Linked DNA regions of Pelodiscus sinensis. The protein of the gene in region 1 interacts with the protein of each later gene in a biochemical or structural test. Links are inferred from orthologs where the notes say so. Each region holds a gene or a part of one and is shown in the gene's direction. Other genes may lie near its edges.

Region 1 (7,049 bases):
TGTGCTGGAAGTTAAGAGCGGGACACAACATATGAAAGAAAGGGCTGCAGCTCAGTTAGGGGATGCCTAGACTACAAGCCTCTTTCGAAAGAGTGTCTAGACTACAGCCAGTACTTTCGAAAAAGCGAGCTGCTTTTTCAAAAGAGAGCACCCAGGCAGTCTGGAAAAGCACAGTTCGCATTCAATAACGCCTTTTTTTGAAAGAGCGCTTTTGAAAAAAGGCATTATTCCTCGTAAAATGAGATCTTCCGCGATCAAAAAAACTGCCATGTTCTTTCGATTTACTTTCAAAAGAACGCGGTGGCAGTCTAGATGCAGGAGAAGTTTTTTTTTTTTTAAAGGCCACTTTTTTTGAAAAAACCCTGTAGTTTAGACACACCCTTGGAGAGGAACGACATATCTCTTGTTTGTTGCAGGCCTGTGGCTGTGGCCTGCCCCCAGGAGATTGAGCCTGGAGAGGAGTGACTGGGTTTGCTAGTGGCCAGATAGCTTGAGGAAATGGAGGACTTCTGGATGCTGAAGCCCCTGACTGGATTGTGGTAGGAAGTATCCCAGGGAAACAAGGCTACCATCTGGTTTGGCTGTCATTGCTTGAGTTGGCATTTCAGTGGGGTCCCTGCTGAGCCACTGGTGAAGCCCTCTGCCACTGTCAGGGTCCTGAATTCCTGCTCCCCACTAAGTCCCCTTTTCCCTGCTGCCAACTCTACTCCTAGAGTTGCAGCCTCCCCATCTTAGGTTGAATGATCTGTTTGCAGCTCTGTCCTGCTTGCAGGTTAGAGCCCCGCAAGACTGCCTAGCGTTCTGACCTGTCTGAGGACCAGAGCCCTCATACCTTATAGCCCCTGGTTTGATAATTTCCCCTGCAAGTGGGCTGACCTCTCAGGGCATGTCTAGACTGCCTGTGGCTTTTGAAAGAAGATATGCAAATTTTTGGAAGAGTTAAAAAAAAAAAGCAGTCTAGACGTGGTTCTTTAGGGGAAAAAAAACACCCTTTTTTCCAAAGAACCCTTCTTCCTAAAAAAATAAGGTGTACAGGGTTCTTTGGAAAAAAGGTTTTTTTTCGAAAGAACCGCATCTAGACTTTTTTTTTTTTAATTTCCAAAAACGGGATCGGAAGAAGATATGCAAATTCGCAACGAATTTGCATATCTTCTTTCAAAAGCCGCAGGCAGTCTAGATGTACCATCAGTGTGGTGAAGTGACCACCCTCCGAGCCAGAGAGAAGACCACTAAGCACTGTGAAATGTCCCAAAAGGAACAGTCCAGGAGGACAGCATGGAGCACTGATATACCTACTTGGGGTGCATCACACTATTGTATATTGATGCAAGTGTAATGCAGACAGACCCTGGTTGCCTGTGGATAGAATTGCACCTAGGACCTCTAGAACTTAGCCTCTACTGCATGAGCTAAAAAGCCACCTAGCTATTAGCAAAGGGTGTACAGTGCACTCTTTATTCTCTCTGTAAGTGGTTTGGTGCCACAACATGGGACAGTACACCACACCAAGCAAGAGATGTGGGTTATACAAGCACTCATAGTAAGTGTCAACACAAGCAGCCAAGTGTGAGTGCACCCAAGCAATATAGAAACTTTGGTAGTTCTATACTAACATAACTTGTGTCAAATCAACTTTATAGCATGGATATGGTCTAAGTGTTACAAGATCAAGCAGTCAAGATGAGAATGTTTTTGTTAAAAGAAATAAAACGTGTCTAGTTTAAAAAGCTTTGTGTGGGAAAGAAAGAAGTTTGCTCCATTTAATAGTGGTTAACACTATTGTCTTCAAGCCTTAGCATAATTCTGAAAAAAATTATCTGTTTCAAAAACTCAGTTCTGGATGTTATTCCTTGCATTGTGCATTTTTATGTTCTTTTATTATGCTCATCACCATAGCAACTGGGCACCCTGCATTTTAAAATCAAGTTAGGAAGCCAGCCTTAGCTAGCACAGAGAGGATATGGGGAAGTGCTGCTCGGTGTTCTCTACCAAAAGGCTCTTCCTGTCCCACACAAGAGGACAGGAGAGGACTGAGGATGTGCTCTAGCGCTCACTTTGCTGCTTCTTTGAGCTGAAGTAATGTACAGCAAAGCAATTAATAACTGATACTCAGCTCCAACATATCTCTGTCTCCCACGGAAATCATAGGAGGCACAACAGGGGTGACAAACTGAAATCCAGAACATTCCCGGGAAAAAGATCTGAGAGAAAAAGAAAACTATCACTGCAATGACCCTCATTCACTCCTTCCCTGTCCCAGAGACAAATAAACAGCTCCGTATGGGTTTTAGAGGCTGCTGGTGGATCTAATAAAATCAATACAATCACCTCATTCTCTCCTTTGAGCAATAAATCACAGGTATTTCTGTGTCTTAAATCTAAGTGGAAGGGGGGTGGCAAACTCATCAGTTGTGGGTGTAAAGATAAAGTTTAAATGACAGGGCCCTTCACAACCCTTTCTTCAAGGCTTGCTTTGTTTTCAAAAAAGAAATTCAAAACCAGAACAAATCAACTCCAGGTACTGGAATATAACCACACATAGCACTTTCCAGCCAGGAAGGAAAAGGATACACACCCTTTCCTTATGGTAGTTCCAGCATCCACCAGCTGGGAAGGGAGAGGACACACTCCCACACCCTTCCTCTGTAGTAATCCTTCCAAACTGTTATGGTAAGACCTCTACTAGGATTTCCCTAGGTCTGTATCTCTCTTGTCTGCAGCCCATCTAAATTGCAGGAAGCCTTAAGGATTCCCACTGGCCACATGCTTGTGTCTAATCATGTAACCTGCAAGTATAACCCCGTGGTATAAAGGTGTGTCCCAAGGCCTGTAACAAGCATATTGGGACATGTGCATGTGGCTGCAAGAGCTAGTGCCCTGATATAAGAGGACTGAGGAAATACAGATGATACAGGCCCTGTTCTAGCCCTGCCTCAGAAAATGAGAGGTTCAAACATGGAATAACTGGAAGGGCTGTCAATGACACATGATGGCTCTTTGTGGTCTCACTCATACTTCCCAAGCCTCAGGCTTTTGGCAATGTCAGGCTTTTGGGAGACATCTCAGACTCAGGAGTGACTCCAAAACATCTGGGCTTTTGACTGTGCAACTGCAAAAAGACAGTGAGAAGTTTAGAGCTAAACCCAAGAGAGCTGTATCCTGTTTGAGCAGACTACCCTGAAGGCTGTTCTTCGCAATATGTCTTTCAATTAGCCAAGCTACACTATTTACTTTGACTTAAAAAAAACCCCATGAATTTGATGTAGCCTTTTTTGGGTCAAATGGCAAACACAACGAGGTGGTGGATGAGCAGGGGGAGTGGATGAGAAAGGAGTTGAAGAATTGCATTCATGCTTTTGAATTTCTAGCTGAAGGCGGATGGATGAATCTAGTCTCGCTGCTGCCCTAACTTATTGTGCCCTGTGGTGAATCCTGGCATTAATGAGCCCTAACAACAACCCACTACCATGTGCAGCGCTGAACACCAGAGGAGGTGCCTGGACCAGTTTGCAAGGTGTCTAGCCACCACCTATGGGTCAGTCTGTCTCCCCTCCTGCCATCTCAGGCAAACAGCGTCCTCTCTGCCTATGGGTGTGAAACAGACACCCTGATTTTCCCTTAATAGTATTTACCTTAGTGATCCCCCAGAAACTGAACCAAAGCCCCCCCCCCCCCCCCAGACATGCCCCATAGAGCAGCTAACCAATACCCACCAAGCAGCAGGAGCGCGCCCCTGTCACTGTTCAGAGTCCTGGAGTCCAAAATCCCGGGCCCCTGAGATGGGGAAAAGCCAAACGAGAGTGGGAAGGAAACTCACTTTTCCCCCTTAGGGCGGGGACAGCAACCACAATATTAAATATGAGCCCCAACCCACACAAAAGCAGCCGCCCGCCCGCCCGCATGCAAACGTTACCCGGCGCTTTGCGACCTTAGAGACGCTGCTCACCTCTACACGCCTGCGCAAAACCACCACTTCTCCGTAACGATGGTAGAAGCAGGAGGGAGGGGGACCCCTCGCCCAAGATTGGGGGGGGGAGAGCGCCCGGATGTTGCGCATGCGCGGAGGCGGCTGGACGTGTCGGTGGTGGAGCGGCAGCAGCTGCAACAACAACACGGCGGAGGCGGCGGTAACGGGGCGGCTGGATCCTTCCCTCCCCCGCTCCGGAGGCCCGTGAGTGCCTCCTCCCCCCCAGCCGGGGCCGCCCTGAGGGGGCCGGCCGCAGCCCGAGGGCCTGGCCCCTTGCTGAGGAGGAGGCGGCGCCCCGGGGCCGCCGCACCGGGGCGGGGGGAGCAGGGGCTCGGGCCCGCCGCGGCCCAGCCGAGCCCGGAGAGCCCAGGTAACGCCCGCCCCCGGCGGCGTCCAATCAGACCCCGCCTGCCCCTGAAAGTGCGCCCCGCCCCCTCCCTCTCAGGATCCCCCCCCAGGGCTGCGCTGGGGGCCGCGGGCGAGGTCTCTGCTCCCCAGGTCCCCCTCCGGCGGCGGCTCAGCGCTCGCGGTGGGAGGAGCGCCCACGGGCCGCCCTGCTACAAGTTCCCAGGAGTGCGGCGAGGGGGGACCCCTGCCCCTCTGCGGAGGCCTCTGGTGCGAGTCCCACTGCAAATGAGGTGTTAGGAGAGTATCCTTCCTCCCTGCTTGCTCCCCTGCCCCTCTTCTTCCCTTCCTCCACTTGACAAGCTCGCCCCGTTTTCTTGCCCCGCTTATTCGGCTCCCCGTAGTGTAGGAAGTTGCCCGCCTTGTATTCCGTTCTCTAGCTCCCTTGCTCTTCTCTCTCTCCCCGCTCCTCCAGCCCCATGGTGTAGAAAATTGTTCCTCCGGACTCTCCTGTTGATCATATTCCCACTCAAGCTGTTCTACCATCTTCATTATTAAAGTGCCTTTCTTGCCACTCTTGCTTCAGTACTGTGGCCCGCAGCCCTAGTTACACTTTACTTCTAAAACGTATCGTGTGTTTTTGTTTGGGGTTTTTTCATATTTGGTTTCTGTCCTGCAATTCAACACACTTTGTTTTCTTTTAAATCTCATTATTTTTAGTTTATTTTAAGGTGCCCAGAGGCCTTTATGCTTTCAAGATATTATCTCAAAACAGTTCTTTTTATTTTAATTTTTGTTTTGTTTTATTTCTTTGCAATCTCCACTCCTTTTTCTTTTTTATTGTGCGTTATGTGCTGCATGGCAAATCTTATAGGAGTTCTTGCTGAGGATTGATGATGTGAAATTTTCTTTAATTTTGGGGAATTAGCTAAGTCCAGGGGTTGAGGAGAGAACAGTACAAACAGATCATTGCAACTCGTGCATTAGCACATACTAGGACTTTTGTGTGTGTTTTAACATCATATCCCAATCCTTGGTCGGTGTGTGTGTGTGTGTGTGTGGGGGGGGGGGGGGGCGCTCTGTAAACTAGGTAAAAGTTGTTTTCAACCTCTGTGATTGTTCCATTTATAATCTTAGCTGTGAATTAATTTAAACTTAGAATTAATACATTTTATATGACAGCCTTCTGGATAAAAAGTTTTATGTAATTGGCAATCAAAATACTTTTGTTTTGGCTAGATGATTATTGGAACAGACACCCCCCCCTTCCATTTGACAGTCGTGAACCTATTTTGACTTGATTTCCTTGTTTTATAGGCATATATATGCTTTTAATAATATTAAAACCGTGTTCATACACAGAGTAAAGATCTGAAGAAATCAGTCCCTGAAATTGATCAACATCTAGAATTAGTTTTATAAATAGATGGATTTAATCGAATTTACAGAAGAAAAAATGCAATAGATATTCAGATGTTGAGAAATATCTGCATACTCTGGTGCAGAGCAAAGGACCTGCATGCAAAGAATTTCAAAAGTACTGCACGTATTCTGAAAAATTCTTTTGGGGCTGGAATTTTCCATGCTTGGTCTTACCACAGAGGTGGAGATTTAAAGAAGGAAAAAAGTGCTTGAGCAAACAAAATACTATCCCTGTGCAAATTTCAGTACAGAATGCACATTACGTAAATACCCATTGCTGTGTTACCTACGCATTAAGAAAAAATATAAAATGACACTACATTTGTTCATAAAAGATTCTACTCTTCCTTCTGTTATTTGGTCTCTGGGTAAGACAGAGATAAGGAGATAGCAATGTGTTGGAGTTGGTTATGTCCTCAGCTGCAGCCCTAAAGGTATATAGATCAAGGAAGACTTGAACCTCATGCTGCAAGGCAACTTACAGGTCATCCCATTTTAACATTGGTACCTGAGCCAATTGTGTTGGGGCTGTAAGAGGCATTTGGATGAGATACTGGCCACATCATTCTCTTGTGTACTGTTGACTATGGAACTGACCAGCCTTAGCCAGTCACCCCAATGAGCCATAGGCTTGTGGAAACTTTTATTTGACTGTCAGTGTTAGCATCTATGGGAATACAGATATCTCAATGAGTCAGGCTGTTGTATGTAGTACACATTGGAATTTGTCCTTTACAAGTTTGAAGAATAATGGCTGGCTGGAGGGGAAATTGAATTACAAAAACTTACAGTACAAAAACTTTCTACTGTGAAAATGGCAATGTAAATATGGTCCTCATTCATCAAATCTTCTCCATATATGTATTTGATTCATAGCTGCTACCTTTGGTAACTGAGTGAAGTGTGGAGTGTGTGTGTGTGCGGGGGGGGGGTTTGCTATTTCTGCTACCATACCTAAGCTACATACTTGCATATCATTAGTAGAAAGGCTTACTGTGTTTCAGCTATAGGGCCAATCTGTTAAGCTTGTAAAAATGCCATTGAAAGCAATAGTTGCACACAGGTGGAGGCTGAGGAAAAACAAATGGAAAAACTGGCTGAAGACAGTTAAGACTTCAGATTTGGTTGTTCCACAAGAAAAAGGTTTTCTGAATTTTTGAATTGTTGTCATCTCTTAATTAAATTAAGAAGAAATGTTGTTGTTACAGTACTAAAATTTGTCTCAAGGCATTTCTCTGAATTCCTGTTCTGTTTTGTACAATTGTGCCAAAAAAATTTTTTATTTTCTTGTTACCTTTGCTTTTATATAAATGAA
Region 2 (7,751 bases), on another chromosome or scaffold:
CCTGGGACAGACATCCAGGACAGGCAGCCAGGTACACAGCGCCCGGGACAGGCAGCCTGGGACAGACATCCAGGACAGGCAGCCAGGTACACAGCACCCGGGACAGGCAGCCAGGGACACAGCACCTGCCACAGGCAGCTTGGGACAGGCAGCCAGAGACAGGGACTGGGACAGGCAGCCAGGGATGCAGAGCCCGGGACAGGCAGCTTGGTGGAGATACCCAGGACAGGCAGCTTGGTACAGACATCCAGGACAGGCAGCCAGGGACACAGCACCTGCCACAGGCAGCCAGAGACAGTGACTGGGATAGACAGCAAGGACAGGCAGCCAGGGACACAGCACCTGGGACAGGCAGCTTGGGACAGGCAGCCAGAGACAGTGACTGGGCCAGGCAGCCAGGGATGCAGAGCCCGGGACAGGCAGCCTGGTACAGACATCCAGGACAGGCAGCCAGGGACACAGTGCCTGGGACAGGCAGCCAGGCACACACTACCCAGGACAGGCAGCCAGAGACATAGTGACCGGAACAGGAAACCAGGGATACGCCAGCTCGGGACAAGCTGCCGGGAAAGGCAGTCAGGGACACACTGACTGGGACAAGCAGCCAGGTGTACGTCCCTGGGACAGGCACCTGGTGACATACTGCCTGGAACAGGCAGCCAGGTACACACCACCCAGGACAGGCCGCCAGGTGTACGCCTCCAAGGACAGGCAGCCTAGTGCACACCACCTGGGGACACACTACCCTGGGACAGGCCACCGGGAACAAACAGCCTGAGCCACGGCACCTGGGACACACAGCCAGGTAGACACCATCCCATTGCGCACACAGAGTGATCTACACACACGGGTGCACACCCCACGACACACACTGGGACACACACCCAGGGCTCTGCACACCATCTGCAGCATACCCCCAGGGACGTGGGCACACAGATGCACATGGGCAGATAACCCACAGACCATGAGACGCACACTTCTCTCCCACTCTCACAGTTACACACACCCACACAACATGTACATATACAAGACGACAGATGTACGCACAAGGCAAACACACAGAGTAACACACACTGCAACAATACACACCCAAGCCAACACACACTAGCACGCACACAGACCAAAAACTGGGCAACACCCCCTCATCACAACGCACACCACCTACGCACTAGGAACCCCACACTAACGCACCGATCCACTGACAACACCACACTTGCTGCCTCCTACACCAAATACACATAACACATCAACACAGGTTAACACAACAATACCGCACAAAACACATACACAATGCCATCCCCACACAAGTAATGCAGACCATAACAAACACAAAAGACACACAGCAACACAGCCAAACACCCACCCAAAAACAGCCACACAAGGAAACACACTACCACATTGGCACAGTGCGCGCACACACTAACAACTACACAAAGTAACACACGCTAGCATTCCAACACACACACACCCACACACCCTGACACATTCACAGCTACTCTGAGAAGAGCCCAGGTATCTGGAGGGATCTGCCCTCTCTGCTCCTGGCACTACAAGGGTTAAAGCGGCCTCGAGGCCTCCACTGATACCCAAAGGGCTCCCCATGATGTATCTGGGGACCCCCATCCACTGGCCGGGGGCCCTGGTGGTGCTACCCCTTCTGCCGGCACCATACAGGGCCAGGGGGCCCATTCCAGGCATACCTGGAGGTGCATGGAGGGGGCAGGGGAGGCTGCCCACAGAACAGCCTGGAATGCCCCCCAGTGCAGCCCCATTGAACCCTCTGTTCCCTGGGGCTCCCCCCTCCAGTGCCCACAACTCGGTGCCCCCCAGCGCCTGGCTCTGCCCGCCTGCTGAGATCCCTCCATCATTTTCCTCCTCAGTCTCCCATCGGGCTGAACCAAGCAGCCCCAAAACACAGGGCCATCCCCATCCCGCACCCCGCCTGGAGACTTGCTGACAGGCTTGGATGCTGGAAAAGCTGGAAAGGAATTCACACCTGAGCTCACCAGGACTTCCTGCTAACGGACACTGAGCCCCAGAAAACGGAAGCCCCCCTGCTGCGTGTTTCCCGTTCGGTGGCGGCTCCCCCGCTGCCCCGCCCCAGAAGTGGCTGCATCCTGGCACTGGGTGAGCCCTTTCTGAGTGGTGTTATATGCAGCTGTTGCCCAGCTGCCGTGCCCCAGAAGTGGCTGCATCCCAGCATTGGGGGAGCCCTCTCCAAGCGGCGTTATATGCAGCGGTTCTCCAGCTGCTCCATCCCAGAAGTGGCTGCATCCTGGCCCTGGGCGTGCCCTCTCCAATTGGCGTTATATGCGGCTGCTCCCCAGTCACCCTGCCCCAGAAGCGGCTGCATCCTAGTGCTGGGCGAGCCCTCTCTGAGCAGCATTATATGCAGCTGTTCCCCAGCTGCCCCACCCCAGAGGTAGTTGCAACACACTCCCCCAGCTAATGGCACTGGTACTTTCCCTCCTCCAGCGACGGCACGAGGGCACTGGTGGCACCGGTTGAACGAGCCTTCTGCATTCCAGTGCCCTGGCACCACCAGACCGGGAATGATTCATCTGTCGGACGGCAGCCAGGACGCCTGGGTTCTCGCCACAGCCCCAGGAAGGGAGCGGGGTCAGGTGGGTCAGGGCAAGGGGGGGCTGGAGGCCTGGGTTCTGTTCCCAGCTGCCCGCAGAGAGGGGCATCTTTGTGCATTTTCCTGACTCTCATTAAAATGGGGATTAACACAATCAGCTGACTCCAAAGCCGCTTAGGGGGCCGAAGACAATCCCTGAGCCAGGCCGGGCCCCTCCTGTCCCCCTGCTCTGTGCCCATTGATGGGGTGGGAACGGCTGCGAGGGTTTAATGCCCCCTTCCCACAGAGACCCTGGCCCAGGGTGCTCCCGCAGCGGCCTCACCTCATGCCACAAAATAGGTCACTCTGCCAAGCAGCCAGGCCGGGCACGGCTCACCCCCCACCCCGGGAACCCAGGCAGCCGGACTCCAACCACTAGACCCCCTGTCCCTCCTGCGCCCTGGTTTGCCCCACTAGCCTCTCAGCATCAACTTCCCCAGACCCTGTTTCCAGTTCAAGTGACCCTCAGATCCAGACCTTTCCAGCTGCCCGGACACAGAAACAGCCCCCCCCCCCCCGCATCCCCGGGAAGGACTGGCCTGACTGTGCAATGCAGCCACCTCTGGGGCAGAGCAGCTGGGGAACAGCCACACGGGGGGGAGGGGGGGGAAGAACTTGTTACACTAAACTCTGCCCAGCCGCCCGCTCCTCCCAGCATGGCACACCCAGGGCCCAGGCCTGCCTGCCAGGGGGCAGAGCCCCTGCCCAGCCCCCACCCGGCCCCACAGCACCCAATACCCAGCCCCCACCCAGCTCCCAGCCCCACGCATCGTCTGCTCAGCCCCCACCCAGCTCCCAGACCCACAGTGCCCAGGCCTGCCTTCCAGGGGACAGCACCCTGTCCAGTCTCCCAGCCCAGTCTCTGCCCCACAGCGCCTGGACCTGCCTACCAGAGGACAGCACCCCTGCCCCATTCCCAGCCCCCCAGTGCCCAGGGGAGGATGCCCCTGCCCAGCCCTCAGCCCCACTCTCCACCCCATGGTGCCCCTCAATGTCCTGGGGAATGCCCCCCCCCGCCCAGCCCTCCATCCTGCTCCCTGACCCTGCCAGGGGAGGCTTTATCCCTCCCCACCCCCGAGCCAGCCAGCCCCCCGCTCTGGCTCAGCGGGGGGATCTGGTGCCCCATGGACGGGACAGGCCCCTGCCCCACCGAGCCAGCCCAGCCCCCTCCAGGCTATTTTCCGGGGGGGGGGTCTCTTACCTTTCCTCTCTCAGATGCGTTGTTCTGTTTCCTGGCTCGGGGGACGCACAACCGCCGCCGCGGGTGTGTGACCAGTCCGGGGGTGCAAGGGGGACCCCCCCGCCCCCGTTTAATCCAGCCAGCCAGTTCCCGGCTCTTTTTCGGCTGGAAAAGCCCTGGCTCCCAGTCCCCGCCGCCTGTTTCACACCCTCTCTGTCGCCAACAGGCGGAGGAGGGTGTGTGGTGGGGGGTTGCACAGCCGGACAGTCGCTGGCTGGTTACTGGGCCAATCGGCTCCCGGTGCAAGACAGGCAGAGGCACATTGTCACAGGCCGGGTGTAGCCCCCGCCCCCCACGCACAGGCGGGCCGGGTGTATCTCACACACACCCTGTGTGGTCACGCCAATCCGCCTGCTCCAGTGATTAACCCTTGGGGCGCCGGAGGGAATGTAGGGGGCGGGGCGCGGGGCGGCGCGGGGATGGGCTGTGAGGGGGGGCTTAAGGGGGTAGCACAAGCCACAACAAACTGAGCCACAGGGACCGACACCCCCGCACCCGGACAGCTGGAGCCCTGGCACACACGGAGATGCACAGTCGCACCGACACCGGTACACAGCGGCTACACACAGAGGCAGACAACCGCTTGCCCCGCAACACCTCACACGCACACTCAGACGCACCGCCGGACCCCTGCCATGGCAGCCGATACACACAGAGAGGTGAACGGTCACACCGCCTACCACGAAAGCGGTCCCACACAATGATACACAATTGAACACACACTGTTACAGCAGATACACACCACAGCCACATAAATAGGTACCCATAGTCCCCCCCCCTCCCCACGGGAACTGATACACCCACAGACACACCACTTCACGCACCCAACACCCGCTGACAACACACACACACACACACAAGTCTCACACAGAGCTACACAATCCCTCCACGACAACTGACTGGCAGAGCCGCACACTCCCAGAGCACAACAGCCGGCGCACACCCAGAGACACACAACCACACCCCGACCAACACAACTCACACACACACAACTCGCGCCCACCGGACACCGCACCCCACGAGCGACAGGGACACGCGCGCGCATGGAGAGGGGGTTCAGCCCCAGGAGGTCCTGGGGGGCTCCCGAAAATCCGGGTCCTGCTTCGGTCCGGCCGCGGGACGGGCCCGGGACAAGCGGGGCGAGGCGATGGGGGTCTGGAGCGAGGGGCACCGTCGGGGCGTGTGTCAGATGCCCCCCTGGCACCCCCCCGGGCTGGGGGTGTATCCCGACGTGACGTCATTTCCCTTGGCGATCCCCCCCCAGCCGGGGGATGAGGCAATAACTCTCCGGCCGGGTGTTTATCGGCTGCGATCGGGGTTGAGGGGGGTCCCGCACCGGAGCCAGCGGCCGCTCTCGGACCCCGCGCCCTAGGCCCAGCGCCCCCCCCCCGGGCCACTCCTGCTGGGACACCGGCCGCTTCCCCCGGGCCCCGAGCCCTGCGGGGGGAGGAGAATGTCGCACGGGGCGGGGCAGGGGGCCCGGGAACCCGACCCCCAGCGGGCCCCCCCGACTGTCTACGTCCTGCTGGAGGGACCCCGCGCGGCTGAGACCGTCCAGGTGCTGAGGTGAGGGGGGCAGAGACCCCCGGTATCCCCCTGTGCCGGGACCCCCCCGTCCCGCGCGGTAACCCCCCCCCGGTATCCCCCTGTGCCGGGCCCCCCCCCCGTCCCTCGCGGTAACCCCCCCCGGTATCCCCCTGTGCCGGGCCCCCCCCCGTCCCTCGCGGTAACCCCCCACCCCGGTATCCCCCTGTGCCGGGCCCCCCCCCCGTCCCGCGCGGTAACCCCCCACCCCGGTATCCCCCTGTGCCGGGCCCCCCCCCCGTCCCTCGCGGTAACCCCCCACCCCGGTATCCCCCTGTGCCGGGCCCCCCCCCCCGTCCCGCGCGGTAACCCCCCACCCCGGTATCCCCCTGTGCCGGGCCCACCCCCCCCCGTCCCGCGCGGTATCCCCCCCCCCCGGTATCCCCCTGTGCCGGGCCCACCCCCCTCCCGTCCCGCGCGGTATCCCCCCGTATCCTCCTGTGCCAGGCCTACCCCTCTCCCGTCCTGCGCAGTATCCCCCCCCCCCCTATCCTCCTGTGCCGGGCCTACCCCCCCTCCCATCCCGCGCGGAATCCCCCCCCCGTATCCTCCTGTGCCGGGCCTACCCCCCCTCCTGTCCCATGCGATGTCCCCCGTATGCCCCTGTCCCGTGCGGTATCCCCCGGTATCCCCCTGTGCCGGGCCCACCCCCCTCCCGTCCCGCGCGGTATCCCCCCCCCGTATCTCCCTGTCCCGCGCAGTATCCCCCCCCGTATCCGCCTGTCCCGTGCGGTATCCCCCCCCGTATCCGCCTGTCCCGTGCGGTATCCCCCCCGTATCCGCCTGTCCCGTGTGGTATCCCCCTGTCCTGCGCGGTATCCCCCCCCGTATCCGCCTGTCCCGCGCGGTATCCCCCCCTGTATCCCCCTGTCCCGCGCGGTATCCCCCCCTGTATCCCCCTGTCCCGCTCGGTATCCCCCCCCCGTATACCCCTGTCCCGTGCGGTATCCCCCCCCGTATCCCCCTGTCCCGTGCGGTATCCCCCCCCCGTATCCCCCTGTCCCATGCGGTATCCCCCCCCGTATCCCCCTGTCCCGTGCGGTATCCCCCCCTGTATCCCCCTGTCCCGCTCGGTATCCCCCCCCCGTATCCCTCTGTCCCGTGCGGTATCCCCCCCTGTATCCTTCTGTCCCGCGCACTATTCCTCCCTACCATCTACTTGTCCCCCGCGCTAGGGTCCCGTCCCCCGGAGCCCCCGCTGCCCCAGTACCCCCTGGGCAACCCCCTGTCCCCCGGCACCTCCTCCTCCGGCACCCTTTGCTCGCTGGAATGCCCCTCCCCCCGAGGACCTCCCCTTTCCTCCCTGGTGCCCCCCCTCCCTTCCCCGGGGTCCTGTCCCGTCTCGGCCTCCCGCCCCCAGGGACCCCTTTGGCTGGGGGAGGGTTGGACAAGCGACCCCTGGGCCCGACCCTGTGGGTTGGGGGTGAGGGCAGCTGGGGGGCGAGGTTGTGACTGGGTCACAAGGGGGAGGGGCAGGGGCTGGCCTGGGGGACCCGAGCCTCTGGCTGCAAATGAAGCTGAGTGTGAGTTCGCTCCTGGCTCTGGGAGGAGTGGGGGCTAGTGGTTAGAGCGGGGGGGGCAGCCTGGTTTCCTGGGGTCTCTTCCCAGCTCTGGGAGGGGAGTGGGGACTAGTGGTTAGAGCGGGGGGGGCAGCCTGGTTTCCTGGGGTCTCTTCCCAGCTCTGGGAGGGGAGTGGGGACTAGTGGTTAGAGCGGGGGGGGGGCAGCCTGGTTTCCTGGGGTCTCTTCCCAGCTCTGGGAGGGGAGTGGGGGCTAGTGGTTAGAGCGGCGGTTGGGGGGGGGAGCCTGGGACTCCTGGGTTCTCATGGGGCTGCAGTAGCAGATCCCCCCCCCCCCCAGGATAATTTCTGGCCTCTCCGGACCCCGGGCTCCAGGGTCCATGTTGTTTGCTCCCGGGTCTAGTTAATGATCCCTGGAGCGGGGGAGGGGGCCACTGAAGGTCACACAGCGAGTTGGGGGCAGGGGTGGAGCCCAGGATCCCAGCAGCCCCCCTGCTCTAACCACTGGACCCCGCTCCCCCAGAGCCAGGGAGAGACCCCAGGTGCCCAGCTGGGGCAGGAGGGGGGCACATCCCCAGGAGAACCGGGAGAGGGGACACTGGGGCAGGGCCGGGGGGAGGCCCCAGCCTGGTGCTGAACTAACCTGACCCCCCCCCCCCAGGCTCTGTCACTTCCCCTCAAGTCTGTGGAGTCTGTGTCCTATCCGGCCCTTCCTTTTCCTTCCCTTCCCTTCCCTGCTGGGAGTCACAGCCCCTGCCCCCCCCAGCCCTGCCTCCTCGCTCCCATCT
Region 3 (7,269 bases), on another chromosome or scaffold:
AACATGCTTCCTGGATCTTTTCCCTCCAGTTCGCCACTTCTTTTCACATCTTATCTGAAAAACATGCTTTCCTCTTTTGCTTATATTCCTCTTAATTTCCCTCTCCCCCTCCGGTACAATAAAGCTCTGTAAAGCAGTTCAGTACAGCTTATATGAAAGACGCTACGAAAATAAATATGCATTACACAGATGCATGACAGTGTCTTATGAGAGGAAAGAAAAATAAAAATGCCTGGTTATTAAGACAAGCCAATGAGATACAAACTGCGAAAAACCGATAGCGCATTAGAGCGACCAGGGACACGCCGCCGCCGGGCACCGGGGGGCAGCAGCAACAGCAGCGCGGGGGGGGGGTAGGGTTACAAGGCGCTGCCCCGCGCAGAGAGAGGGGGAAAGAGACACCAGAGCGGGCCCGAGTCAGGCCACGTTCCTCGCACACAGCGCGGCGGCCTCGGGCTCTGCCTCTTTAAGACGCTACTCAGCGTTGTTAGGCAACCAGGCTACAACAAAAACTGCTGCGGCTCCAGCCTGGGCCTAGCGCGCCCCCCTCCTCGGCCTCCTCCCTGCCTCGCGAGGCCTTTCGTTCCCCGGAGGGGCGCAGACACCCCCGCGCTTTCCCCCGGCCGCCACCGGAGGGGCACAGGTCCCCCCGCCCCGCAGCGAGGCCCTGGGGTGCTCGCTTCTCCCATCCCGGGGCGGCTCACAGCGAGGGGGCCGCAGCCCCCGACTCCCCGTCCGCGCCTCAGACACAGGCAGGAGACCAGAGCGGCCGCCCCAGGGGGCAGGTGACGGGGCAGAATTGCGTCCCGCGCTCCCGGGAGGGGGGCTCCCTGCGCCCCACCCCTTAGCCTCAGCAGCCGCCGTTGAGTTCCCCGGTCCCGTTGTCACGGCTGCAGCCAGCCCGCGGCGTCACTCACCGGTTCACCGTCGGGTTTGCAGGCGGCAGCTTCAGCTCCAGCTCCCGCCCTCGTCCTCTCACTTTACCGCCTCCCCCGGAGACTTGCCGCCAGACCTCCGCGGCTGCAAACAGCGCCCCCTGCTGCGCGGGAGCCGGGACCGGACTCCCGGTGTGGATGTGCGGGGATGTCTCTCGTTTCGTACCCGATGCCTGCCAGGGAGCCACTCCCGGCACGCGAGATCCTCATGCACAATTCTCCTCCCACCCGGTACACAGGTGACCATCTGGACCTAAACAAATACCACACAGAGGACATACCGTAGAACCAGACAAGGATACTGCACGGTCACGAATACCTCCATGTAGTGGACCCCATTCTCTCCCTCCCAAAAGTGACACTGTACCCAACCATCACATACAGAGGGCCATCTTCCTCCTACCCCTCTCCCACACACAAATCCTAGGACGTGGAGGGCTGTGTTTGCAGTTTGATTTTTTTTAAAGCAGGAGTGTAAACCAAGAATGAGAACTTTGCCACTATTTTATTGTCAATTGGCCTCTCTGCTTCTACTCTTCTTGCTAAGTATCAGAGGGTTATATATGGTTGTGACTACTTTCTTCCACTATTTGATCTGAGGAAGTGGGTCTGGCCCATGAAAGCTCATCATCTAATAAACCATCTTGTTAGTCTTTAAAGTGCTACATTGTCCTGCATTTTGCTTCAACTACCCAAGACTAACACAGCTACATTTCTATCAGTAGGGTTAGCTGTGTTAGTCTGAATCTGCAAGAGTCCTGTGGGACCTTATAGAATAACAGATTTATTGGAGCATAAGCTTTTGTGGGCAAAGACCTACTTCGTCAGATGCATTGTAAGGGACAGGGGAGCAGGACCAGGGACTGAGCCAGCATCTTTGCGCACCAGCTCCCCTGTCCCTTACAATACAGAGCAGTAGTCGGGGAAGTGGGTCTTTGCCCACAAAAGTTTATGCTCCAATAAATCTGTCAGTCTATAAGGTGCCAAAGGACTTCTCATCACTTTTACTCTTTATGCTGAATCTACTTCCCCTGCAAATAGTGTTTCCATATGACATCAAGAATGGAGACCTTCCCAGCTCTCTCATTTCTTCCCTTCTTATAGCCCATTACAAGGGCCCAAAAATTCATTAAATGTGAGACAAAGGAATAAGTGTAATATGAAGCATAACTTTAAATTTGTTAATATAAACATTCCATATATATATATAATGACCCTGTAGCAATCAGTAGAGCTCTGCAGGGGCACAGACCTCTCACACTGATGCAGAATCAATAATAGGGCCTTGTGTAGGGCCAGACATTTGCATTTTCATCATGTCCCATTTTCCTAACTTGGGTTTTCCATGAGCAGAACCATGTGCAGGGATTCCACTACATGATTAAGATCTAGCTGTGCATGACACTTTACAGTACGGGTGGGCAACAGTTTTTTTGCCAGGGGTCGCCTGGCCCTGGGCCGCTCCGGAAGGGGCGGGGCCAGGATGGTTTCCAGGCTTCCCCACCCATACTCCATGATTAATCTAGGGGTGGAGGAGCCCCTTTGTTCCTCCTTCCCACTAAGCACCCATGCCCAATGGTAGATGGAGACTTCCCATGTCCCCCACCCTCAGGCCAATCAGGGTCTGGGAGCCAGGGCCACAGTATGACTTTTGTGGGCCCTAGGCACTTTTGCCTTCATGGGCCCCTTCCTCCATAAAAAAAAAAAAATATTAAAAAGTATTTTGATATAACTTTAAATACTTAAACATTTTTTTTCTGTTTTAGGCAAAATGTAATAGATTTTCGTGGGCCCTAAAAGTTTCATTTTTTTCTGATGTGAGAAAAATATTAAAACATTTTCTTTGACCCTAAAAGTTCATTTTTGTCTTCTGATTTTAAAAGAAATTAAAACATTTTCATGGGCCCCTAAAAGTATCATGGGCCCTAGGCACTGTGCCTAATGGATAAACACTTATAAGTGCTGCGTGCTTTTTGCAGGGCAGGGATAAGGCAGAGGAAACTTTGCGGGTTCCTCCTGCTGCCAGGCCAATCAGGCGGTGGGGGTGGGGGTGGAGGTGGGGGAGCATGCAAATTCTCCTCCCGTCGGTGGTGACTTTGTGTGCTTCCCCCCACACACAGAAGCTCTCTTGCCCACCCTTGCTTTACAGACATAGTCATTACCAGGGTTTGCTGAACAGCGGTGAGCCCTGCTCGCCAGCTGCGTTGTCCCCCCAAACCCGCAGATCACCCAAACCCAATTCTTCCGGGTTACAATCTACTCACCCATGTCGAGTAGATTGTATTATTTGTCAAGCCCTGATCATTACTAGGCATATTAAAATGCATTTATTTTTGTAAACGTGTGGCAGCTGGTGCTTTTAAGCCAGCTCCCCACACATGCTGGCTTCTGTCTCCTTCTTCCTTCCCCCTTTCCCCTCCCCCCCCTCCACTGCTGCCTCTGTATTAGCGAGGAGGGAAAGGTGGCTCCTTGGGAACTGGCATGCCTGGAGAGTAAGCTTAAAAACCAGCTCCCCACTGCACACCAGCTCCCAACTCCCAGTCTCCAGTTCCATCCTACATTTTGAACCCCTCATTTCTGCCCCTCCCCAGAACCCACACCCCCAGTCCAAAATCTGTGCCACATCCTACACCCCAGCCCACTGCTTCAGCCCAGAACTCCCTTCCATATGCCTAATCCCTTGGCTCCACCCCACACACTAGAGTTCCCTCTTGCACCCCAAACACTTCATCCCTGGTCCCACCCTAGAGCCCACATCCCCTCCTACACTTCAATCACTGGGCCAGCCTTGTGAAAAAGAGTGAATGAGGGTGAAGAAAGCAAGCAACAGAGAAAGGAGGGATGCAGAGAGCAAGGGCAGGGCCTTGGAAAAGGAGTAGGGGGTAGAGTAAGGCTATTCCGTTTTGCAGAAAATCAGCAATCCTAACCAAGATGGCTAGGACAGACTTTTTAAAAATGAAGTTGAGCTTCTCGTGTCCTCCCATTTCAGGAGCTGAAGATTTACCTAAGAAACCAAACATCAGGAGACCCAGGATTACATTGTGAGAACTAGCAACGCTTGACCATCTGTTCATTTCCACACTGCGACATCCCTAAGTTGTTGCGTGCGCAACTACTGAGATCACCTGCACAGCTAGCTGAGCGTGGTCTGTGTTACGCATGTGCGTTGCTTATCCATGGCCCCGCTGTCAGCCGGGCATGGTTCTGAGTAGGGCGGTACTTCTAAGACTGGCCTCTAGGGGGCGCGCTGCCCAGGAGGTTTCAGGCTTTGCGGACTGTACCATTCCCAACCCTCCCCCAGTTTCTATCGGGACATTCCAAGCCTTGGCTCCCCCCTTCTCGCGCCCGACACTTGGTTTGCGCGGCGGCCGGGTCGGGCCGGGCGGCTGGGGGATGGCGGCGGCCGGCACCTCCGGGAGCGGGATGGCGCAGAAGAGCTGGGAACTGGCCAACAACATGCAGGAGGCGCAAAGCATCGACGAGATTTACAAGTACGACCGCAAGCAGCAGCAGGAGATCCTGGCGGCCAAGCCCTGGACCAAGGAGTGAGAGCCGGGCGCGGGGGAGCGTTCCGGGCTATGGGGGCGGGGAGGCGGCGGGGCCCATGGAGCCCGGGGAGGCAGCGGGGCCACCCGTGTGGTTTAGGTCCTGAAGTCAGCAGCATTTCCGGCGGGTGGCGGTTAAGAGGGGCCCTGGGTAGGTGTTGATAAACGCCACCCAGCTACTTCTCCCTTCTTTCCCTCCCCCCCCCCCCCTTGCTGTACTGTGCACGTTTCCTCTGTGTGTGTTTGCCTGCCTGGTCATGTACCTGTCCTCTCATTAATATCTCTCCGCTCTTTTCTGTAGCAACCACTACTTCAGATACTGCAAGATTTCGGCTCTGGCCCTGCTGAAGATGGTCATGCACGCCCGGTCTGGAGGCAATCTGGAAGTAATGGGGCTGATGCTTGGGAAAGTGGATGGGGAAACTATGATTATCATGGACAGCTTCGCTTTACCTGTAGAAGGCACTGAAACCCGAGTCAATGCTCAGGCTGCTGCATATGAATATATGGCTGCATATATTGAAAATGCAAAACAGGTAAATAAAGAGATCCGTTGTGCCAGAAGATAGGCTATTGGTGCTGTAATAACAACTCAGTGTCAAGCATGAAATCTTTGTATTTCACAGCTATAGCAGTTATACATAATATGTATAGTTGGCTTCATTTACACACACATTCACTCTCTCTTCTTCCCCCCCCCCTTATTTTCCATCAAAAGAAACCCTAAATCTCCTTTGAGAAGAAAAAATATAAATCACGGAGTATATAGACAGCATTGGCAACTACCAGTAATTGTACTTTAGAAGATATGAACATTATACAGAATGTTTGCATGAAACATAACTGAAATAGTTCTTTCCTCTACCCCCTGCCTTTCCATATAGACTTCCATTCACATGTAGGCCCTAATCCTCCAATGGGTTTAGTGCAGACAGAATTGGTGCTTTAATCTCTGATGAAACTTGCGAACATGTAGTAGGTAAATATAATAAAAAGTTCCAAGCTGGAACTTTCTATTATATTTACCTACTACATCATATACTTATTTTATATTAACCTCACACTGCAATCTTGATAGTGATGTAGTGCAGAATGAGCAGTACATCCCATACATGTTTCCAGGTTCAAATAGTTCCTCTATCTATAGTTGAATTTTTGTATTTCATTAACTATATCTAATACAATTAGAGACACTTGTTTCATTTGTGCAAAGTTCTCCTAAATTTAATGGTGAAACTCAGGTTGCAGGGTTAGGGAATAAGAATTGCTGCTGTATTTACAGCTGGATTACTTATAGATTTCAATATAAATTATGAGTTGGAATAGATTATAATGTACAGTAACTCCTCACTTAATATTTTTCAGGAATATAACTCTACGTTAAGCAAAGCTAATTTTCCCATAAGAATTAATGAAAATGCAGGTTAGGTTCCAGGATATGTTTTTCCAGCAGGCAAAAGGCAATGTGTGTCTCTAATATACACAGTATGAGTTTTAATAAATTTAATACTGTACACAGTAGAGATGTTAAATTTCAATTAATCAACTAATCAAGTAGCCGAAGTGGGTCTTTGTCCACGAACGCTTATGCTCCTACACTTCAGTTAGTCTATAAGGTGCCACAGGAGTCCTCGTTGTTTCTGTAGGGTTAATAAGACCACAAATATTATTCTTTGTTGAAATAATTTAATGATGTATAGTGATCTGTTCTAGCTGTACCTATTAAGCATTTAAACTGTAAAGCAAGTACAGTAGACTTCCAATAATCCAGCACCTTTGAGACCTAGGTGGTGCCAGATTATTGGATATGCGGGAGTATCGGGAGGTACTCCGGCGGGGGGCTGTGACGGGTCTGCCAGGACCCGCACTGTGTCTGGGGGGTGGGCAGGGAATAGCACGGCGAGGGGCGAGCCCTCTGCCATTTTGCAGGAAGGTGGGGGAAGCCCCACACCGCTGCCGAGAGTTTCTGGGAGGGGAGCGGGCTCCCCACCCTCCAGACTGCAGTAGTTATCGCTGAGCAGAGGGGTGAGGGTCGGTGCTGCGGGACCAACCCACAGCACCCCTGCTGCTCTGCTCTGCCGCTTGTCCACCGCTCATCAGTTTCAGCAGCGGCAGTGGCGGACTTGAGAAAGCGGCGAAATAGAGCAGCTGGGGTGCTGCTGGGTTGGTCCCACAGTACCGCCCCTTACCCCCTGCACAGTGCCTGGCAGCACCCCAGCTGCTCTGCTCCGCCCCGCCGCTTCCCCAAGTCCGCCACTGCTCCTTATGAAATTAATGAGCAGCAGACAAGTGGCAGAGCAGAGCAGCTGGAGTGCTGCCGAGCAGCGAAGTGAGGGGCGGCGCTGTGGGACCAACCTGGCAGCACCCCAGCTGCTTTGCTCTGCCACTCGTCAGTTTCAGCAGCAGCAGACTTGGGGAAGCGGCTGAAACTGGCAAGCAGTGGAGCAGAGCATCTGGGGTGCTGCTAGGTTGGTCCCGCAGCGCCGCCCCTCGCTCCCCTGCTCGGCGATAACTACTGCAGTCTGGGGGGTGGGGAGCCCATTCCCCTCCCAGAAACTCTCGGCGGTGGTGTGGGGCTTCCCCCTCCTTCCTGCAAAATGGTGGAGGGTTGGCCCCTCGCCGCCCCATTCCATGCCAGTAGCTTCAATTGTCCGGCTGGCCGGAGCACTTGCACTTCCAGGTTCCAGTTGGTGCCGGACCACTGAATGCCGGACAATTGGAGTTTTACTGTAAAAAGATTCTTTGGTTTTAAGCCTGATTCTGTTTGTTTAAAATTGGTGCCTAAACAT

Evidence for each region. The genes of interacting proteins can lie anywhere in the genome.
Region 2: the proteins of SMAD4 (region 1) and TFE3 form a complex in vitro, tested with the Homo sapiens proteins (2 studies listed by BioGRID). The link is inferred for Pelodiscus sinensis from reciprocal best matches to the Homo sapiens genes SMAD4 and TFE3.
Region 3: the proteins of SMAD4 (region 1) and COPS5 form a complex in vitro, tested with the Homo sapiens proteins (2 studies listed by BioGRID). The link is inferred for Pelodiscus sinensis from reciprocal best matches to the Homo sapiens genes SMAD4 and COPS5.

Annotation. Positions count from the first base shown.
Region 1 is NC_134716.1:114,750,485-114,757,533, reverse strand, and holds the start of SMAD4 (mothers against decapentaplegic homolog 4), read left to right. Parts: upstream 1-4,038; 5' UTR 4,039-4,171; exon of another isoform or gene 4,172-4,337; intron 4,338-7,049. UniProt on the Homo sapiens protein: In muscle physiology, plays a central role in the balance between atrophy and hypertrophy. When recruited by MSTN, promotes atrophy response via phosphorylated SMAD2/4.
Region 2 is NW_027466045.1:99,144-106,894, reverse strand, and holds the start of TFE3 (transcription factor E3), read left to right. Parts: upstream 1-4,742; 5' UTR 4,743-5,313; coding exon 5,314-5,426; intron 5,427-7,751. UniProt on the Homo sapiens protein: Transcription factor that acts as a master regulator of lysosomal biogenesis and immune response.
Region 3 is NC_134712.1:57,851,426-57,858,694, forward strand, and holds the start of COPS5 (COP9 signalosome complex subunit 5), read left to right. Parts: upstream 1-4,260; 5' UTR 4,261-4,328; coding exon 4,329-4,480; intron 4,481-4,781; coding exon 4,782-5,016; intron 5,017-7,269. UniProt on the Homo sapiens protein: Probable protease subunit of the COP9 signalosome complex (CSN), a complex involved in various cellular and developmental processes.